Mus musculus: one gene and its partners. The protein of the gene in region 2 binds, or shares a complex with, the protein of the main gene of each other region. Links are inferred from orthologs where the notes say so. Each region holds a gene or a part of one and is shown on either strand. Other genes may lie near its edges. The genes, in order: Prkab2, Prkaa1 and Prkab1.

Region 1 (3,647 bases), on a different chromosome or scaffold from region 2:
CTGTCTTATACTCACTGGCAATCTGACTTCGCGGAGTCTTGGTCTCTATCTATAAAACAGGGGTTAAAAATAGTACATACCTCTCAATGTTACCAAAAGATAAAACTCAGTGAATTAAGATTTTATATACAACCACACACTCTATTAAAGTCAGCTCTATCAGAAGTAAGGCTAGATCTCTCTGCTCAGGCTGCACATCTAAGAAATACAAGCAGCTTATAGGGAAACTACTGGGAGTACCCTGGATGTGTGTATGCACAATCTCTGGGGATGAGAGCACTCAATCTGAAGGCTCACAACCTGAGGCTCAGCTTAGACAGTCACAGAACTACACTTCTAAGTCAACAGCCAAGCCACAAAGACATTAAAGCAATGGAGAAACTAAGGACTCTAGGGCAGGGGTGGGAAAGACAGGGAACCTCCAGTCACACGATTCCCTTCCTACTATGTAAGAGATGGGAGCACACCTGGGTATATACAACTAGGACAGGGCAAGGAGCTTGACGCCCCATTTTAAAAGGTAAAGTTTTATGTCTCATTCAAGTATTTGTTGAAGGAAGCTAAACCTGATTTCCTGCAGATGGACTCCAACCACTATGAACTCAAGCTTAAGGAAACAGATGAGACAAAGGGTCCAGCCACCCAAAGGAACTTAGAAGCAGAAAGACTCCATGACTGACAGCTCAGTCCCCGCACAGACCAGAGTCTGAGGTTTAAATCCAACGGCCTGCAAGTTAGGAAGAGACGGCCCATCTACCATCTGACCGTCAGGGCCAAGTGCAGCTTTAGAAGCAGCAGCGAGTGAGTTACCGCTGAAGAGCTGGAGGGACCCTTACCCTTCCACGGGGAGGCTGTGGAGGACCGGGGCCGCCACTTACCTTAATGGACAGTGCATAGAGATGGTTCAGCATAACATGATTGGGCTCAGGAAGTAAGGCTGGGTCACACTAGGAGAAAAGACACCCCCGGCGCCAAATGTGATTAAACACAGACAAAACAAACAGCTTACTCTTCCCCAGAGCTCTCTGGAATGTTGGGAACTCTAAATAGGAATACTTTGTCTCCCACAAGCCATGCATTCCCGGATGATAAGATCGAAAAATCCTCAGACTAGCACAGAAATGCTAAGCCCCAACATCCGCTAATTTTCTCTAAGAGAATTAAAACAAAAACCTTGCTTAGAAATGCAGATGGTTTGGTTAAAGGGAAAAAAAAAAATCTTCCAAGGAACTATCAACTAAGTGAAATCGTGGTTAAAAATATTTAATATAAAGTTGTGAACTTCTGGGTTTCCCCCAATGAGAGTACCCCTTATCTTGTATTGTAATAGAAGTCAGAACACATACCAACTCTAGCAGTTTGGTTTTGATTAAACTAGAAACAGACATCTATAAAGTTTGCAAATGGTACCTAAAGAAGTTATAGTTCAGTCTGGGAAAAAGGATTCCACCGTGCTGTGCTGATGTGCACACGGCCGACTGCCGTAATCATGACACAACTGTGACACAATTCCAGCCCGAGGTTACTAATTTTGGCCTTGATGGTCCTAAGGATCCCCACATGCTCTAGCAACCTGCTCAGGATACTCACTGAAATATTCGTGTCCTTGTTAAGAATAACTTGGAGTAGGTGAGGGGGCAGGATGGGTGGGGATTTGAATCTCTCCTCAGATCGAAACACATACATTTCTTGACCGTAAGGCCCAGGGGGTGAGCTGGACAGGTCTGAAAAATATTTATGCAAATGTGAAGAAACTTGAAGCATTAGTGAGGATGCGTGGGGGAGCTATGACTGCACAGTCGTTGATCTTAATGCAATACAAGTCCTGGAGCGTAAGAACTCGTGGCCTACTGCAGCTGGAGCTGTCAGGGTAAAAAAGAAACGTCTGAATCAACCTGAGCATGGACCAGGAAGCTTCTCAACGGGCAGCGTGACGTAAGGAAGAGATGAGAGGCCAGGGCCCAGGCTCCAGGCAACCACCACCAGCTGTCAGCCATGTGACCTTGGACAGATCCCCTTTTTTTGGTCAGTTTACTTATCCACAGATAAATGTCTTCTTCATTGACAATGCTTTTGAGGAGATAAAAATGAGAGTGGTTAAGATGATGTGTGGACAAAGTGTGAAGAGATTAGAGTTCATATTTTTTTCCCTGCCAAAGTGACAGACTGCAACGTTATACACTCTAGGTCCATAACGATTACAGCAGACAGAACACACGCAGCTGCAGTCAAGAGCATGCAGTGTAGTCAAGGACCACGCTCCGTACTCACTGGGATGGCTGTCTGTCTCTGAAACAGCAAAGACTGGAGGAAACGTGGAGAAACTCAAAGCCCCAAACTACGGTGTTCCCATTGTGGGCAGAAATGCACCATAGTATAAACACGTTGAAAAACAGTACAGCTGTCTTCAAATAGTTAAACAAACTTTGTAACCCGGTAATCACATTACTGAGCGTAACAACTCAGATAAAATATAAGCCCACGCAAGAACCTCACCGTAACTGTTTATAAGCAATATATATGAGAGCCCCAAAGAGGAAACAAAACCCAAATGTCTGTCAACAACGGATGGAGAAGCAAAAAGGAACTGTCATACCGTGGACTTCTGCTCAGCCACAAACAGAAGCAAAGTACTGATACATGTTTCAACAAGGCTGAGCCCTGGAAGGCAGCCTGCTACAGTGAAAGAAGCCACACAATGTGTGGTTATATTTATACCAACTGTCTGGAAAAGGCAAAGCTATACCGCAGAAGCTTTGACGGACACAGGACAAAGGAGAAAGGGATGGAGATAGTCCTTCTTTTGAGGTGACAATGGTTCTAAAACTCAATATACTAAGAAAAAAAAAAAAGATAAATTCATGGTATCTGGATTATACTTAAAAGTGAAAAGCATTCAGGTTAAATTTACAAAATTAAATGAACTATGTTTTTATTGTTTTAAAATTTTACATTTTATAGCTCCAGAGAAAACATTTTAGTAGTAGATTATTTTAATAACTCAGATTTGCTTCAATATATAAGTATATAAGGCAAAGCAATGCTCTGTTATTAAACAAAACTCAACAATAGACACAACAGGTAACTTTTCAAAATACTTTCAGGTGTTCTGCTCAGTATCCACAAAACACCACCGGCAAATAACACAGGGCAATTTTCACGCATTGTCCTTTATACTAACATATACAAGTTGGACGTTGAAAAGTCACACACATGGCCACACCCACTATCTGTACATTCCTAATAAACGCTCTATGCCTTACATCACTGGGCTAGGAAACCGCGTGCACCCAAAGTGTGCTGTCCTCCCGCTACTGTCACCTGCTCACTGGTTACTTGCAGATCAAAAGGTAATCAGGGATCTAGTGGCCTCAGAACTGAAACCTTTTAAGATCAGTGCACCCGCAGCCGGTAAGAACGCTCACGGTAACGTTAGTTCTGAGTTTATATACTAACTCTAAGTAGGTAGTTACTGTGCCATGGACTTCTTGTCCCTTGTCCTAGAGACTCTGTCATGGGCTCTGTATCAGTAATTATGACTGAGGTTCACTGAGGGTCCAAGCCCTCGAGTTTACTGCTGGGAGCTGGTGTGCGATGGCATGACTAGTAGCCAAGGCAGGCTCTGCAAACAAGAGACCTTGTTTCAT
Region 2 (3,647 bases):
ACAATGCAGCCATTTCTCAATACTCAATTGAGCACAATAATCAATTTCCTATGACTCAAAGTATATTGCCACAAGAAAAGTGTGTCATTAATAAAATGAAATTTCAGCTGGGCGTGGTGGTGCATGCCTTTAATCCCAGCACTCGGGAGGCAGAGGCAGGCGGGTTTCTGAGTTCGAGGCCAGCCTGGTCTACAAAGTGAGCTCCAGGACAGCCAGGGCTATATAGAGAAACCCTGTCTCGAAAAAACCAAAAAAAAAAAATAAAAATAAAAATAAAAAATAAAATGAAATTTCTCTGGTATCTAGAGACTCGAAAAGGTAGAAAAATACATTGGTTTAAAAATCACCTAATATTGCTGTGCAATGGTAATACCACGCGCCTTTAATCCTAGCACTGCACTCGGGTGGCAGAGGGAGGCAGGGCCAGCCTTGTCTTTAGAGTGAGTTCCAGGATAGCCAAGACTACACAGTCCAGACAGACAGACAGACAGACAGACAGATGGTTTGTTGGCTGGTTGGTCAAGTAGGCAGATAAAGTGAGTTACCTGATATCTTTTATTGCGGCCCTCTTCATGGGATCCACCTGCAGCATATGTTTCAAAAGGCTGATTACTGAAGGGTTTAAGTACTGAGGGGTATAAAAGATCCCATCACATATCTTCTTAAAAAGAGTTGGCACATGGTCATCATCAAAAGGGAGGGTTCCACACAGCAAAGCATAGAGAATGACCCCGCTGCTCCAGATGTCCACCTCGGGGCCTGCGTACAATCTGCATAGAGAATGCTAACTGTATTAATCACAATATCAAAAAGCATCGGTCAACACTCTTCAAATACAAATACTTTATGAAAAATATAAGAAAATAATTTTTAAAGAAATCAGTGGTCAGAATATGGTATCTATAGTGGTTGTTGCACATCACACATAAAGATACTAGTCTTATCAGTATTACCTGTTTAAAAATAAGCTATTTTGTAACTTGTGATCCATGGGTCAAATTGTACTACCTTACTATGACCCTCAAACTTCCTACCAATAAGGTCAACCCTTGAGCCATCATGATCAATGTTGATTTGAGCCACAGGGATAGTTTTTTTTAAGTACCTTTTTTGTTCCCCCACCCTCACCTTTAAGTAACTTTTAGTGTGTGTGTGTGTGTGTGTGTGTGTGTGTGTGTGCACATGCATGTGCGTGTGTATGGTGTGCACATGCCACAGTGGGTGTGGAGCTGAGATGACAGCTCTGTGGAATCAGTTCTCTCCTACCTTTACCCAGGATTCAGGGGTCAGACTCTAGGCACTTGGCAGCAAATGTTTTACCAGCTGAGCCAACTCGCTGGGCCCATGATTCAAGTCTGTAGTGACAGACTCTGAACCCATTTCTCCTAAAACCCTCACATCACAGTTCAGGAAGCTGGAGCTGCAGAAGCAAGCCAAGGGCAGTGGAGCTCACAGAACACTCGCCCTCTTCGTGCGTGAGTGCGTCTACGTGAAGGAAGCACTGGAGACACGGATTCTAACTAGCTGCAAACCAGCTGAATCATCCGAGGCTGCCTTCAGGGGGAAAACGAACCCTCAGAGTGACGAGAGTGCTTCCTTCCTATAGACAGCAGTAAACACTGTTCTCAAAATGAGTGCTCCTATTCACACAGACCTCAAGGAAAGACATCCAAACTGTACATTTCCCCAAGAGCCCATTTTATGCATGCTTGAACATGACGCATGCCTTTTTTCTTTAGTTATATTCCCTGTAGCATCTAGATTTTGAATTTTTCTCAAATCAAAGGAATTAAGATAGAAAACACAAATGAATCTTTTTAATTCACTTCATTACCTTTTCTTTGAGCAGTCAAAAAAAAATAAGCACATGAACATAGAAAGCACAGGGATTTTTTTTTAAATTAGGTCCATCACCATTTGAAGCATTTAAACAAGGAAATGGTTGAGGTGGACGGGATTGTGGGCACTGGCGAGCAACAGGCCTCCCCTACCTCATTAGTGTTTCAGCAGCAATGAGGAAGCAATGTGTTTTTGTTTGCTTTGACTTTTACTTGTTTTTTATTTCTTTCTTTGCTTGCTTGTTTTTGCAAGAGCATTTTATTTATTCCCAAGCTGGCCCTGTCTCACTAAGGAGCCTGAGCTGGAGACAAACTGCTGTCTAACCTCCTGGGTAAGGTGCACCACCAAGCCTAGCCAAAGCGTTGATCTTAAAAATAAATTCTCTACGCCAGCAAGATTTTGCTGAAAGGACCCTGATATAGCTGTCTCTTGTGAGGCTATGCGGGTGCCTAGCAAACACAGAAGTGGATGCTCACAGTCAGCTATGGGATGGATCACAGGGCCCCCAATAGAGGAGCCAGTGAAAGTACCCAAGGAGCTGAAGGGGTGTGCAACCCTATAGGTGGAACAACATTATGAACTAACCAGTACCCCGGAGCTCGTGTTTCTAGCTGCATATGTATCAGAAGATGGCCTAGTCGGCCATCATTGGGAAGAGAGGCCCATTGGTCTTGCAAACTTTATATGCCCCAGTACAGGGGAACACCAGGGCCAAAAAGGGGGAGTGGGTGGGTAGGGGAGCAGGTTGGGGGAGGGTATTGGAGACTTTCGGGATATCATTTGAAATGTAAATGAAGTAAATACCTAATTTTAAAAAATGGAAAAAAATAATAAATTCTCTGAGCTGGAGGGATGTCTCAGCCATTGAGAACCTGCGCTGTTTTTATAGAGGTCCCTGGTTTAGTTCTCACCCCCCCCACACACACACACACACAAGGCAGCTTACAACTGCCCGTAGCAATAGCTGAAGGGTGAGGATTGGGGGGGTGGGGTTGGGGGGCTCTGACCTCTGTCAGCACCTACACTAATGTACACATACCCTCACACAAACACACATACATATATGGTTTAAAATAAAGTCTGTCTTTTAAATTAAATTTTACAACTTTAAGCAAATATCTTTTCCCAGACCACTACCCCACTTCCAAATTTAGGCGTGCCTTCTCTTTGTTAATGAACTGTCTCTATCACAGAGGAGGAAGAGGAGGAGGAGGGAGAGGAAGGAGAGGAGGAGGGAGAGGAAGGAGAGGAGGAGGGAGAGGAAGGAGAGGAGGAGGAGGAGGAACTTGAACCTTGAACAAAACAAGGAAATAAAACACAAATTAAATTTTGTTTTCACGCTATTTAAAAAGTAACTAATGAAAATACATCCGTCCTTTAGTGCTAGATAGTAGTTCAGAGTTCAGCAGTCTTACACTTCAATCTCTAGCAGATCTAGATCAAGACTGAACATAAATGAGTCTCTCTCCTTCCTTCTCCCTTTTTATAACCCTCTTGCCCCTCACCTCACCTCGATTTTCCTTGATACCAGGCCTATATAGCCCTGTCTTGGCATCCATGTGCGATACTCAGGCTATAGGCATGCAATACATTCAGCTGGTCTGTTTTTTTAAAGGACCACTTCTTTAGTTTCCTTCCTCATAAAACATGAAGCTACTACATGAATGCCAGCTATTTGAATACTTATACAACTACACGTGACGTTACACTTGTAACTCTGTTCTGCTCTCTGTGCGGTCTAGTTTGGTTTGGTTTTCTTGAGATGGTGTCATGAGAAGGTGTAGAATTACCAGCAAGGATTGCCCATC
Region 3 (3,647 bases), on a different chromosome or scaffold from region 2:
GGAGCTCCAGATGGGAGTACTCACAGAGATGCCCGTGTCCTTGTTCAAGATGACCTGCAGCAGGTGTGGCGGGAGGATGGGCGGGGCTTTGAACCTCTCTTCTGGTTTAGACATGTAAGGCTCCTGGTGGTAGGGTCCTGGGGGCGAGCTGGACAGCTCTGTTGGGAGATGTCGACAAGACACTCAGACTGTAGGCTCTGCAGCTGCATTTGATGCATGGGGCCCTCATCTAGCTTTCTGTCCTGATTTCCTCAATCCAGGTTTGTATTTTCTTCAAAGACATTCAAGCTCAAACAGGGAAAACCAGAGGGGATGAAAAGTGCCCTGGAACCGGGGTGCTCGGGATAAAGCTCGACGCTACCTCGAGAAGCTCAGTGGAAGGAAGAGCAGCTGTGGCAAAGCCTAACAGGGAAGCCATCCCCCATAGCCTGGCCTCTCGTCAGCACAGTAAGGCTTCCTTCTTACTGCAGGCTGAGTTTGGCAACTGCCACAAGTTCTGGGCTTCAAGTGGGGATTAAGTGGCCCAGCCTAAGTTACCAAGTCTCCCAGGCAGAATAAAAGAAGTCTAACGAGGTACTGATGCACTAAAAAATAACCATAAAGACCAACGTGTAAAGGATCTTTGGCTCTACACTCCTGGGTCTGAGTGTTTTCACTATGTAGGCGCAGTAGAAGCTTCTGGAAGCACAGTACCTTGCCTTAGAAGCACCTCGAATCATGACAGCTGGCTGGCTAGATAGAGGATGGCACTGAGCTGTCACCCGAGTGTCGGGAAGGGTTCTGGCTACCTGACCCCTAAGCTGGCCCAGGGCTGCTTTAACTTTCTCAACATCAATTTCTAGGTCAGGCTCCCTTCACACCTCAGCACAAGAACTGAGAAAAAGCACTCGATGCAGAAAGCTGAGCTGTAAGAAATAAATACATGGCATTTAAAAAAAAAAAAAACAAAAAACAAACCCAAACAAGCCACTTGAATGTCTAACAGGAAGTTTAGAGCTGATCTGGCTCCAGCAGCAGGGGGCGGTGCACTTTCTGCCTGCAAATGATCAACCAGACCTTTAGCTGAAGGCTCTGTTGAATAGTGTGAAGTTCGTGTCAGAAGCGTGTGCACTGCCTCCAGGCTGCACCCTTTGCCTGTCTGAAATGTGTAAGTGGTCATCCAGGAATGGCCGATAACCCCAGTAAGAGAGCACTGTTTTTAGATTTCTAAGCCTAGATCTGTAACCTTAACCACGGCCAGCCAAGCCCACCAGTCAATTACAGCTGTGGAGTCAGAAGTGCTAACTGTAAGAGATCCCAGAGACACGGAGGTGAGGGTGGGAAAGCCCTCGGTAAACTGATAGCTGGCTACTGCTGAGAGCTTATCTTACTGATTCCCAGAACTGCTGCCCAGGAAGCAGCCCACACACAAAGAAGGGAAGCACACCTAACGTCCATCTGGATTCTAACACACAGTTTCTCTCCTGAGCTGTCCCTCTGACCTTCCAGGGATTCTCTTCCTCCCAGATGTGGTCGGAACAAAGGTCACCGAAAGCTCCGTGCTTAGAGGACTCTAGTTTACCGTGACTGAGCACAACAGGTTTCCAGAAAAGAGCGTTGTGCCATGTGGCCTGTTTTCTATGGGGAGTCACTTCCAGTCAAGTGTGAATGGACGGCACCAGTGACAGCCAAGGTCACCGAGGTGGCGTTTATCACCTGTCAGCCTGCAATTCTCCAGGCACCACTGGCAGGACACGAGCTGGCAGTTTCCCTGGCAGTGGTTCACTACTGACCCAACGTGTCCTCGTGGGTCTCTTCAGGCCTGCCTATGGCATAACATCAAGTGTAGCTCTGTTCTAAAGCCAAGTGGAACTGCAAAATATCCCATAAGGCAAGGGCAGTGACTTATGGTTTCTTTGGGGGTTAAACTCCAACAGCCAGGGCCACTGGAATTAGGAAGGAACTGCTGTGGTCCGGAGAGCTACAACTGTCCACCTGGCTGGGCAGCTTTTGCTCAAGTGTGAGAGGCGAGGGAAACAGAGTATGTCCAGGCCACAGAGCCCCAGCCTGCACACACGTGGGATAAAGTAACTGTTCATACCAGACACATCGGAGCACTTTTGGGAATCCACCATTAAAGCATCAAATACTTCAAAGTCAGTTTTCTTCACTTGAATGATGTTGTTAACTGTGCCAAGCTGGCTGGTTACTATTGGCTGGGAAGAGACAGATAGGCAGAAATCATAACGTGGAAGGTCTGTGGATTCTTCAGAGGACTAGAATTCCTGGCTGGAAGGCCTCACTGCCTGGTTAGCGACTCTTGGTTAATTATACCAATGAGCTGGTAACTGGCGCTATCTAACTCAGAGCCACACGCAGGGAAGAGGGTCCTGATAGCACGCCACAAGGGAGGTGATGGGTGCTGGTTGTGCAGGTAGGTACTAGAGGGCCAAGGGCTGCAGGCAAAGTACCTCAGAAGGATCATGGGTCCACTGTCCATCCACGAAGAACTTGTACTGATGCTCTCCTTCAGGCAGGTCCAGGATGGCTACAAAGTTATTCTGGCTGCAGGAAGAAAGGAAGTAGAATTTCAGCTGGGTGGGCTGCCCTCTGACTCCAGGTATAACCAAGAGTTTGGCTGCAGGATGGCAAACATGGCAACCAATTCAGACAATTAATTCTTGGTCACGGCCACTAATGGAGCAGCAGGAAACTCACTTTGCTCAGACACTAGGAACCTAGAATCCTAACACTGGAAGGTCAACAAATGGCTGTTCATACCTTCCAAGTCTCCACGCAGAATACCACCGGGCGGGCAGGCGGGCTGGGTGCCACGGAGGTAAACATAGGCTGCCGAGCCATCCCTTTTGTCAGTGTGCCATGACAGGGACTGAGCCAGCGTAACAGGGCACATAGACGTTCTCCACACAGACCTGTCTAACTACCCCGCCACTCCTGAGATTGCTGTGGACTTGTAGCAGCCCTGGAAACACAGGGACACTGACAACAGTTGGGCTCAGACCAGCAGGGCACGGGCTCTCCCTCTGTTTACCAGAAGTAGTCACTGGTAAAGGCGCGATGACAGGAGTCCACACTAGGGTTTTTTTGTTTTGCTTTGTTTTTTTTGTTTTTTGTTTTTGTTTTTTTCGAGACAGGGTTTCTCTGTGTAGCCCTGGCTGTCCTGGAACTCACTTTGTAGACCAGGCTGGCCTCGAACTCAGAAATCCGCCTGCCTCTGCCTCCCGAGTGCTGGGATTAAAGGCGTGCGCCACCACTGCCCAGCCACATCAGGGTTTTGATAAATCGTCTCACTGAACCCTTGCTAATGATGTCTTCAGAGCATGGAACTTCCAACCTTCCAAAAAATAACACACAGGACTCAGTTAGAAGGGATCCAGGTCACCTGGTCCAGGAGTCCGATACAGAAGTGACCGTTCCATGCAGTAATGGGCTGGGATCCACACCCCTAAGGGTCCCAGCCCAGCGTTCTCTCCAATGCACCGGGAACAACTTTCTCAGAAGAAATGTATATCTAAATGTCAGAGCATAGCACAGAAATATCGTCCGCCGAGATCCTTACCTTCTCGTGAGGGGAAGCTTGCTCCAGTTGTTGAAGGACCCAGACAAGTAGACTTCCTTTCCACCCCCTGTCCATCGAAACACGGTGG

The links.
Region 1: the proteins of Prkaa1 (region 2) and Prkab2 are in contact, whole or in part, in a crystal structure (PDB 4RER), measured with the Homo sapiens proteins. The link is inferred for Mus musculus from reciprocal best matches to the Homo sapiens genes PRKAA1 and PRKAB2. Residues at the interface, in NP_006242.5 of Homo sapiens: Gly20, Val22, Lys40, Lys42, Asn59, Arg60, Gln61, Lys62, Val69, Arg73, Val93, Ile94, Ser95, Thr96, Pro97, Ser98, Asp99, Ile100, Met145, Met175, Ser176, Asp177, Gly178, Glu179, Phe180, Arg199, Leu200, Ala202, Pro204, Glu205; in NP_005390.1 of Homo sapiens: Val80, Arg82, Ser84, Ser108, His109, Asp111, Ile115, Ser138, Asp159, Phe160, Glu161, Val162, Ala165, Leu166, Ser182, Ser184, Gly190, Gln191, Glu192, Met193, Tyr194, Ala195, Phe196, Glu199, Arg201, Lys203, Ser204, Pro205, Pro206, Ile207.
Region 3: the proteins of Prkaa1 (region 2) and Prkab1 are in contact, whole or in part, in a crystal structure (PDB 6C9H), measured with the Homo sapiens proteins. The link is inferred for Mus musculus from reciprocal best matches to the Homo sapiens genes PRKAA1 and PRKAB1. Residues at the interface, in NP_006242.5 of Homo sapiens: Gly20, Val22, Lys23, Ile24, Thr32, Lys40, Lys42, Asn59, Arg60, Ile63, Arg64, Val69, Ile72, Arg73, Ile76, Gln77, Val93, Ser95, Thr96, Pro97, Ser98, Asp99, Ile100, Phe101, Met145, Met175, Ser176, Asp177, Gly178, Glu179; in NP_006244.2 of Homo sapiens: Pro79, Val81, Arg83, Leu103, Pro104, Thr106, Val113, Ile115, Asp159, Phe160, Glu161, Val162, Phe163, Ala165, Leu166, Met167, Val168, Asp169, Ser170, Gln171, Arg201, Ala202, Pro203, Pro204, Ile205, Leu206, Pro207, Pro208, His209, Leu210.

What each region holds. Positions count from the first base shown.
Region 1 is NC_000069.6:97,664,659-97,668,305, reverse strand, and holds part of Prkab2 (5'-AMP-activated protein kinase subunit beta-2), read right to left. Parts: intron 1,725-3,647; coding exon 1,591-1,724; intron 948-1,590; coding exon 879-947; intron 1-878. UniProt on the Homo sapiens protein: Non-catalytic subunit of AMP-activated protein kinase (AMPK), an energy sensor protein kinase that plays a key role in regulating cellular energy metabolism.
Region 2 is NC_000081.6:5,171,331-5,174,977, reverse strand, and holds part of Prkaa1 (5'-AMP-activated protein kinase catalytic subunit alpha-1), read right to left. Parts: intron 771-3,647; coding exon 546-770; intron 1-545. UniProt on the Homo sapiens protein: Catalytic subunit of AMP-activated protein kinase (AMPK), an energy sensor protein kinase that plays a key role in regulating cellular energy metabolism.
Region 3 is NC_000071.6:116,017,924-116,021,570, forward strand, and holds part of Prkab1 (5'-AMP-activated protein kinase subunit beta-1), read right to left. Parts: coding exon 3,560-3,647; intron 2,545-3,559; coding exon 2,451-2,544; intron 2,196-2,450; coding exon 2,081-2,195; intron 159-2,080; coding exon 25-158; intron 1-24. UniProt on the Homo sapiens protein: Non-catalytic subunit of AMP-activated protein kinase (AMPK), an energy sensor protein kinase that plays a key role in regulating cellular energy metabolism.